Cricetulus griseus: one gene and its partner. The protein of the gene in region 1 interacts with the protein of each later gene in a biochemical or structural test. Links are inferred from orthologs where the notes say so. Each region holds a gene or a part of one and is shown on either strand. Other genes may lie near its edges. The genes, in order: Rnh1 and Ang.

Region 1 (2,977 bases):
CCCAGTGGGTTGCTGCTCATTTGCAGCTCCAGCAGAGAACGGTTCTTGGTCAACACCGAGCATATGTGGGAACAACAGGCAGCTGTGAGGCTACAGGTCTTTATCCTGTGGGAACAGAAAGGCTGGAGCCAATAGCTCCAACTAGCCCTTTCCTTGGAGGTTCATAAGGAACCCAGATGGCTCACCAACCCCTTCCCAATCTCTCATCCTCTGTGTACCTACACCTCAGCCCAGCGCTGTCCTCAGCTGCTCCCAAACCTCACTCCACCCTAGCCTTTCTGCATTTCTGCCCATTCCCCATTCTGTCATAGAAGAACCTCAGGCCCGCTCACCACAGTGACTCCAGCTGACAGCCAGGCTCCAGCAGACTTTCACACAGCAGCTGGGCACCTTCATCTCTCAGCTCATTTCCAGCCAGGCTGAGTTCCTTCAGGCTCTGCTTGGTCCTGAGGACACGGCACAGGTCCTTGCAGCCCTCTGCAGTGATATCACACTCCCACAACCTGTGGGACATCAACATTCTTGAAGGATGTCTCTCACCATGTACCCATCTCCATGGAAAGTCTAGCAGCTGACTCACCACAGAGTTCTGATCCTACAGCTGGGGAGCAGCAGTCCTGAGCACAGTGCGGCAATGCCTGCATTACCCAACTTGTTGCTGCCCAGGTCCAGTTGCTGTAGTGAGGCTTTGGAGGCCACGACATCGCACAGATCCTTGCAGTTGGCTGATGTGATACCACAGTTCTCCAGCCTGGAGACATAGGACATAATGAGAGAAGCACTGGTGCCTGCCCCTACCCCTTAGCCTCTGTGGCTTAGTACATACTTGAGTGACTCCAGTTGACAGGCAGAGTCCTTCAAGCCCTGGCACAGCATCTGGACACCAGCCTCATGGAGGTCGTTGTTGCTCAACACTATCTCCTTGAAGTTGGGTTTCACCCTAAATACTGAAGCCAGAGGCTCGCAACTGGTAGCTGTGAGGTTACAGTATTCCAACCTGGGGGCAGGCAGAGGTCTCAGGCACATCAAAAGGATTAAGGATGGGCCTAGAAACTTGGTATCAGGGAAACAAGAGATTGCTGGCATCTCATTTCACATTGCTTCTTCAGGCCTCATCTGGTCAGACACAATGATACCTACAGCCTTCAGGCTCATGTGGACACCAACATGGCTCAGGAAACTTTTACTGAAAAGTGCCCCACCTCAAAATCTGAGGCTCTCCCAGAACCAGCAGAAAGATACAAGTTCCTCTGGAGAGTATCTTCAGGCCATCTGGGGTCACACTACAGAATCAAGCCAGACTCCACCAGTATCAGTTCCTACTCTCAGAGGCTAGGTCATCTGCCAGCCCCTAGCAAAGGAGAGCCCCTCAAATCCTAGGAGTCCCGTCTAAGGTTCTTATCCACAGTACTGGTGTGAGGCTTACTGAGGATGGCTGGCTGGGCTCTGGGTAAGAGGCAGCAAAGAGCACAGGGATCCTGGCAAGGTAACACTCACTGAAGCTTCTCAAGGCGGCATTGGGGGTCCAGAAGTCCTTCACAGAGCAGCTTCAGACCTGCATCTCCCAGAGGATTATCACTGAGATGTAGCTCCCGCAGGGTAGGTAAAGAACGTAGCACATCAGGCAGGACCCTACAGCCAGCCTCGGTCAAGCTGCAATTCTGCAGGCTGAAGCACATGCCATCAGTAGCAGCCATGAACAGACTCAGCCCATACCTGCCAGAGCTCCCACCACACCTTACAGGGGTTGGGGCACTACTTTTCCTTTAGATGGGGTCCCAGGCCAAAGGAGGATACCAGTGTGGCTCAGCCAGATTCTCTCTTGGGGCTAGGGCCTAGAAGATAGCCATAATGTGGCCTGTCCCTGCACTTCATACTTACCTGTGTTGTTCTGGATGGAGCTGGGAGTGCCTATTACCACAGCCTATCCCTTCCTACCTCACACACCTCTCAGTGGCTTTCTACATCACAGCTGCCTACTTTGCCACTTCAGGTTCTGCCCTGAATAGACTGAGCTGAGCCCCTGGCTTACCTTAGCTTCTGGATCTTACAGGTGGGATTCTGCAGGCCCTGGAGTACCAGGCACACGCCAGGGTCCCCCAGCTCATTGGTGCATAGGCTGAGCTCTGTTAGGGTGGGGTTGGACTGAATGGCTGAGCTGATGTCTTTGCACCGCACCTCAGTGAGACCACAGTCATCCAACCTGCAGACAGAACCCCTGGATCAGCATGGTGCTGGCCTCAGACCCAACCACCACACCATCTCACATGATAGGTGATAGGACCCATCAGGAGCCAAGAGATCAAATGTGGATTATAACTACAATGTTTAAACTTGAAACAGGCATTTGTGGTGGCAGGTGGATCACCAAGCTCTAACTCAGTCTGGGCTATACAGTGGGAGAAAGCTTTCTCAAACAAAAAAGCCTAGCTTGCACAAAGATCCAACACTGAGAGTAGGGGTGGGGAAGGTAGCAACGGATGTTGATAGCTGGCAGAGGAACTCAGACCTGATCAGAGCTGCAGCAGCTTGAGTCTATGATGAACCACAGCAAGTTATGACTCATTTATGTCCACATGGGGACACTGTATACCCAGGACAGTGTAACAGGCCACACCCATAGTGTCTCCACACTCTCCAAAAGCACATGACCACTGCAAAGAGCCCTCAGATTACCCAAGGGAACATATGCAAGGTATCCAGACTCAAACTCAAAGTTAACTAGGACAAGAGGAAGAGGAACCCTACAGAAGGGGCTAATGAGATAATCAGTAAAAGTCATGTGGGTTCCTAAGCCACTAAGAATGGGGCAAGTCACAGGACAAAGCTGGGAACCCGTATCTGACTAGCAGTGCTAGGCAGCATGAGAGTCTTGGGACATGGTCATGGGAGGCTGATGGAGGGCTGGGGATGCCTAATTGCCTGACTGACTCTGTGGCAAACCTAAAACTATCCCGGGAAAGATGAGCATGCAGCA
Region 2 (4,300 bases), on another chromosome or scaffold:
TCAGAAGGACAGAGAAGCAATAGTATCGGGGACCTTCAAGGTGAGACCTCTACTGATATCCAGCTAAGCACCGGAATGTTCAGTGTGCAAACATACCTATTTGATGTATGATCACACATCACTTTTTAAGCAGATGTGGAAGAACTGAGCTCTAGAATCATCAACCACTCATCTGTTAGAGGAGAACAGCCAAGTGTATTGCAACACCAGGATGGCCTCATCAGCCCCCAGGGGACATACCAGCCAACTCCCTTAGCCAGAGTTGACCTATCAGTGAGGCCCTTTCTGGTAAACAGCTGCAAAGCAGACACTTCACCCTAACCCACAGCACACACACCACCTTGTCCAAACAGAGCCGCCTCTTTTCTTCAGAACTGTGTAAGAATGCCACAGAGTAACCAAAGGGACATCACAGCAGTCAAGGCCCTTCTCTGAAGTGGCCGGCCCCTCACCTGCCAGCTCGGAGGATTTAGAACTTGCTCATTTCCTTGACAAAAGGCCAGGAATTTTTTTTTTTTTTCAAGTTGGCACATATTGAAACAGAAATGGGTATTTTTAAATTTTGTATTTTATTAAGGCTCAAAGAATTATAGTCTATGAACGAGGAACGTGTGTGTGTGTGTGTGTGTGTGTGTGTGTGTGTGTGTGTGTGTGTGTGTGTTGCTAAGGTTCAGACCCAGTACCTCAGACACGCTGCTTAGACTACAACTGAGCCACACCCCTGGGCCTGAATATTATATCTTTGTCAGTAATTTTAACTCATATAAAACAACTGCCAATTTTAAAAAATATTCACTTAAAAAGTTTTAACCACCTGGGCAGTGGTGGTGCATGCCTTTAATCCCAGCATTCAGGAGGCAGAGGCAGATGGAACTCAGAGAGCTGAGTTCGAGGCCAAGCTTTTCTATAGAGTTAGTTCCAGGACAGGATATAAAGTTTTTGAATTTTGAATGAGTCATGCCATTCTCCTTCCAAGAATTGTAGTGTTTGGACATTTCCCCCCTTTATATGGAGTATGTACATTTGACTCTGTCCTTAGGACTCATTGAAGAATCAAGTGTGGAAGGTATGAGTGAACTGTGTAAATTCCTTTACAATGCTAACTTAACACTTAATCAGTGACAGAAGCAACAACTAAAAGAGAAAAGCTCACTGGACTAGGGCTTGAGAAAGTGGGTTCACCCATGGTTGAGGGAGGGAGATTGGGAACAAATTCCTGATGACTTCCCTGAATCTCCAAACAAGATACAAATTAAACATTCACTTTCCAGCACACGGGGCTTTGGCCTATTCCTGGCTTCCAATTATTCTCAGAATAACTGTTTACAGAGATTGCTCTCTGCTCAAATACAGATACAATGGAAAATCTCAAGAGCTGTTTCACCAGCCTGCATCAGGACTCTTTCTGATCCATGATTGGAGTCATACTAATAATGCCTCAGACAAACAGTCCATGGGATTCAGAGAGAATAAGGATGAGACAGAAGCTCATGGGAGCTCTGCACCCCACAAAGCTGAGACACTGATGAACTAACTCATGATGCTTTCAGGCCTATCTCTGACCCTGGCCATAGCTAGCCTGCTTTTTCTAAACAACCCCTGTTAAACTACAGCTCAACTCCACATTATCCAAAATCGTGTTAAAGATGACAACAGGCGGTTGCTTATGACAATCTCTCTGACCTTCACTTTACAGATGAGGAAGGAAATTGAGAAACAAAGAAACGGACATTAATTGACCAAGGAACATTTGGCATTCCTGTGATTAGACACTTTCTAATGTACAATATGACTTTTACATCCCATTGCAATGATTTCTAGAAACATCATTGATTTTTAAAGCAACACTAAAAAATCATTTAAAGAAAACCAACACTGATTATTTCCACAAATCTCCCAAATATTTGACTTCCCCTTTTATCAGCGAAGAGTTTCTTGAATTAAAGCCGGTGTGACTAGCAAGCTGGCCCAGCGCTGAGTGGTGCGCTGCTCTTTGAATAGCTCTTTCAAGAGTTGCCGGGCTTTCGGGAGTTGGCCAGGAGCTGTTCAGATAGATAAGGCTACTGAGGTTTCTAGCGATTGCATGTATGAACTAACTGTAAAAATTACTGCCGTCACAGAGGGAAGATCCTGCTGGACCACTGGAGATGTCCCAGTGTAAGGACGTAGCTCCTATTTGCACTGGCACTTCAGAGCAAGAGAATCCCAACCGCCCACTGACAAGGCATGGAGGAGGCTACTGACGCTTGTCTCCAAAAGTTACACAACCCACTTAAGGGTGAGCTAAGGGCTCGCGGGGGTCAGGAAATAGAAAAAGAAAAACACTAGCCCTCAAATGTTAAGTCATGCCTGCACAACCTTGACAGGCCTTTTCCACAAATCTGATGCCAACCCAGGAACCCTCAGATCTTCCTTATCTGAGCAAACGCGGGCGGGGTTCCTGGAACTCCTCCCTTGGCAGATTCTGTGGTCCCCTCTGAGTCTGGGTTCTAGACAAAGGCATCCACGCCGGACTCTGCCAAGCTGAGGAGAGGGAACTGTGGAAAGAGTATTGCCAACTCTGGCAAGAGTTGATACCTGCCACACCTCAGCTCCGAAATCAATCAGACCCGAAAAGTGGTCTCCCAGGACCCCCACAACTGCCCTTGCTTGGAAAGGAGTTCCACAGACAAAACCGCTCCTGGCCAAACTATGGAGGAGCAGGAGTAGAAACCCACCTGGCGCGGAACTGGAGGCGGCGACTTTATTTCTCACCCTTTTTTCCTAGTGGGATTCCGAATAGTAGAAATGCAATTTCCTTCGGAATCTCGTCGCGGATATGGGTGAGGTCGGCGTTGCCTGGCCACGCAAACAGACTGGGGCCGGGTGCAGAGGAGCGGAGGGTGGGCGTTCCAGCCTCGGTGGCTGGGACCGCACCCCATTTCTCCAAGGATGCCCCTCCCCGCTGGGCCTGCTTGCAGAACTCAAAGAAGTAACCCCAGACTCCTTCCTAGCAGGGAACCAGTGTGAGTTCTACACAGGAACCAAACTGGCAGATGTCCGGAGGACCTCTACGAGGAACACAAGCCGCAGACGCTCCATGACACAGGGGGACCCTGTGAGGTTGCCCGGGGAAAGCTCCAGGAACCCCCAAATTTAGTATTTGCATAGTCCTGTGATACCATCTCTTTCTGTAGGATAGTTGTAACTGGAGAAAGTTTGTAGAGAAGTGAACCATATCCAATTACTAAAGAATGTAAAATTGCAGGGCTCGTCCGGGATTTGAACCCGGGACCTCTCGCACCCAAAGCGAGAATCATACCCCTAGACCAACGAGCCGTGATGCAGTCCTGCTATTTGCAGTCTATCTGTCTATCCTAAACATTTTGGCGTTCCGATGGCTGTCAGGATGCATTGATAACCGTCTCTTTCTTTCTTTCTTTCTTTCTTTCTTTCTTTCTTTCTTTCTTTCTCTCTACAGGTTTTGTTCTGCAAATCAGAGTCCTGCGGGCCAATAGAACACTGAAAACATGCACACAAGCGTGTCCACGAGGGTCTGTACCTTGTAGTCTTTGGTGTCTGGACTTAGGACATAGGACAGCAAAGCAGGCTCAGTTAGAAACTAAAAGTAAACAATGAAAACGGCCAGGAACCAAATTCCAAGTTGTGCGCTTTTTCCTTGTTGTAACGGTGTGATTAGCACTACATAATCAGAGACCGAGCAAGACCTATTGTATCCTTTCTCAGGAGCGGGGTTGCTAGTAAGGACGGTCTCTATTCGGATTTTGAACAAAGGACTAGAGATTAACTTCGAGGGTTGAAAGCCCAAAACGTAGGCTACTCCTTCGAGCCGGAATCGAACCAGCGACCTAAGGATGGCTGTCATATACTCTACAGTCCTCCGCTCTACCAGCTGAGCTATCGAAGGGAAGCACAACGCTCTATTCTCTGAGGGCGGTGTTCAGTCGGTAGGCAACCACCTAGCGGTGAGGACAGAGCCTTGCAACAGCGCTCGGTGTGCGGCGGGCGGCCAGTGCGGGAAGCTGCATTCACCCTGCCAGATCCGCCGACCTGTTTCACCCTGGCTTTGCAGACGCAGCCACAGCTCTGCGGGTGTCCGCCTGGGAGGAGGGTGGGGGGTGCACGCATGCATGCGGTGACGCGGACTCCAGAGATCCGAGAACGTGCGCCCCGCACCCGGACCGCGCGGCATTGCGCTCCCGCTCTGCGGGCGGGACGGCATCGGGTGCCACCGCAGCTAGGAAACCCAGGGGCTGGAGGCGCGGCTTGGTGGTGGCGCCGTTGCCCGGCGTGAGATTCT

The links.
Region 2: the proteins of Rnh1 (region 1) and Ang are reported together in a solved structure, tested with the Homo sapiens proteins (3 studies listed by BioGRID and IntAct, with this or other methods). The link is inferred for Cricetulus griseus from reciprocal best matches to the Homo sapiens genes RNH1 and ANG.

The regions. Positions count from the first base shown.
Region 1 is NC_048596.1:60,018,732-60,021,708, reverse strand, and holds part of Rnh1 (ribonuclease inhibitor), read right to left. Parts: intron 2,204-2,977; coding exon 2,033-2,203; intron 1,669-2,032; coding exon 1,498-1,668; intron 998-1,497; coding exon 827-997; intron 752-826; coding exon 581-751; intron 504-580; coding exon 333-503; intron 106-332; coding exon 1-105. UniProt on the Homo sapiens protein: Ribonuclease inhibitor which inhibits RNASE1, RNASE2 and angiogenin (ANG). May play a role in redox homeostasis. Required to inhibit the cytotoxic tRNA ribonuclease activity of ANG in the cytoplasm in absence of stress.
Region 2 is NW_023276807.1:206,774,314-206,778,613, reverse strand, and holds the start of Ang (angiogenin), read right to left. Parts: upstream 2,857-4,300; 5' UTR 2,718-2,856; intron 1-2,717. UniProt on the Homo sapiens protein: Secreted ribonuclease that can either promote or restrict cell proliferation of target cells, depending on the context. Endocytosed in target cells via its receptor PLXNB2 and translocates to the cytoplasm or nucleus.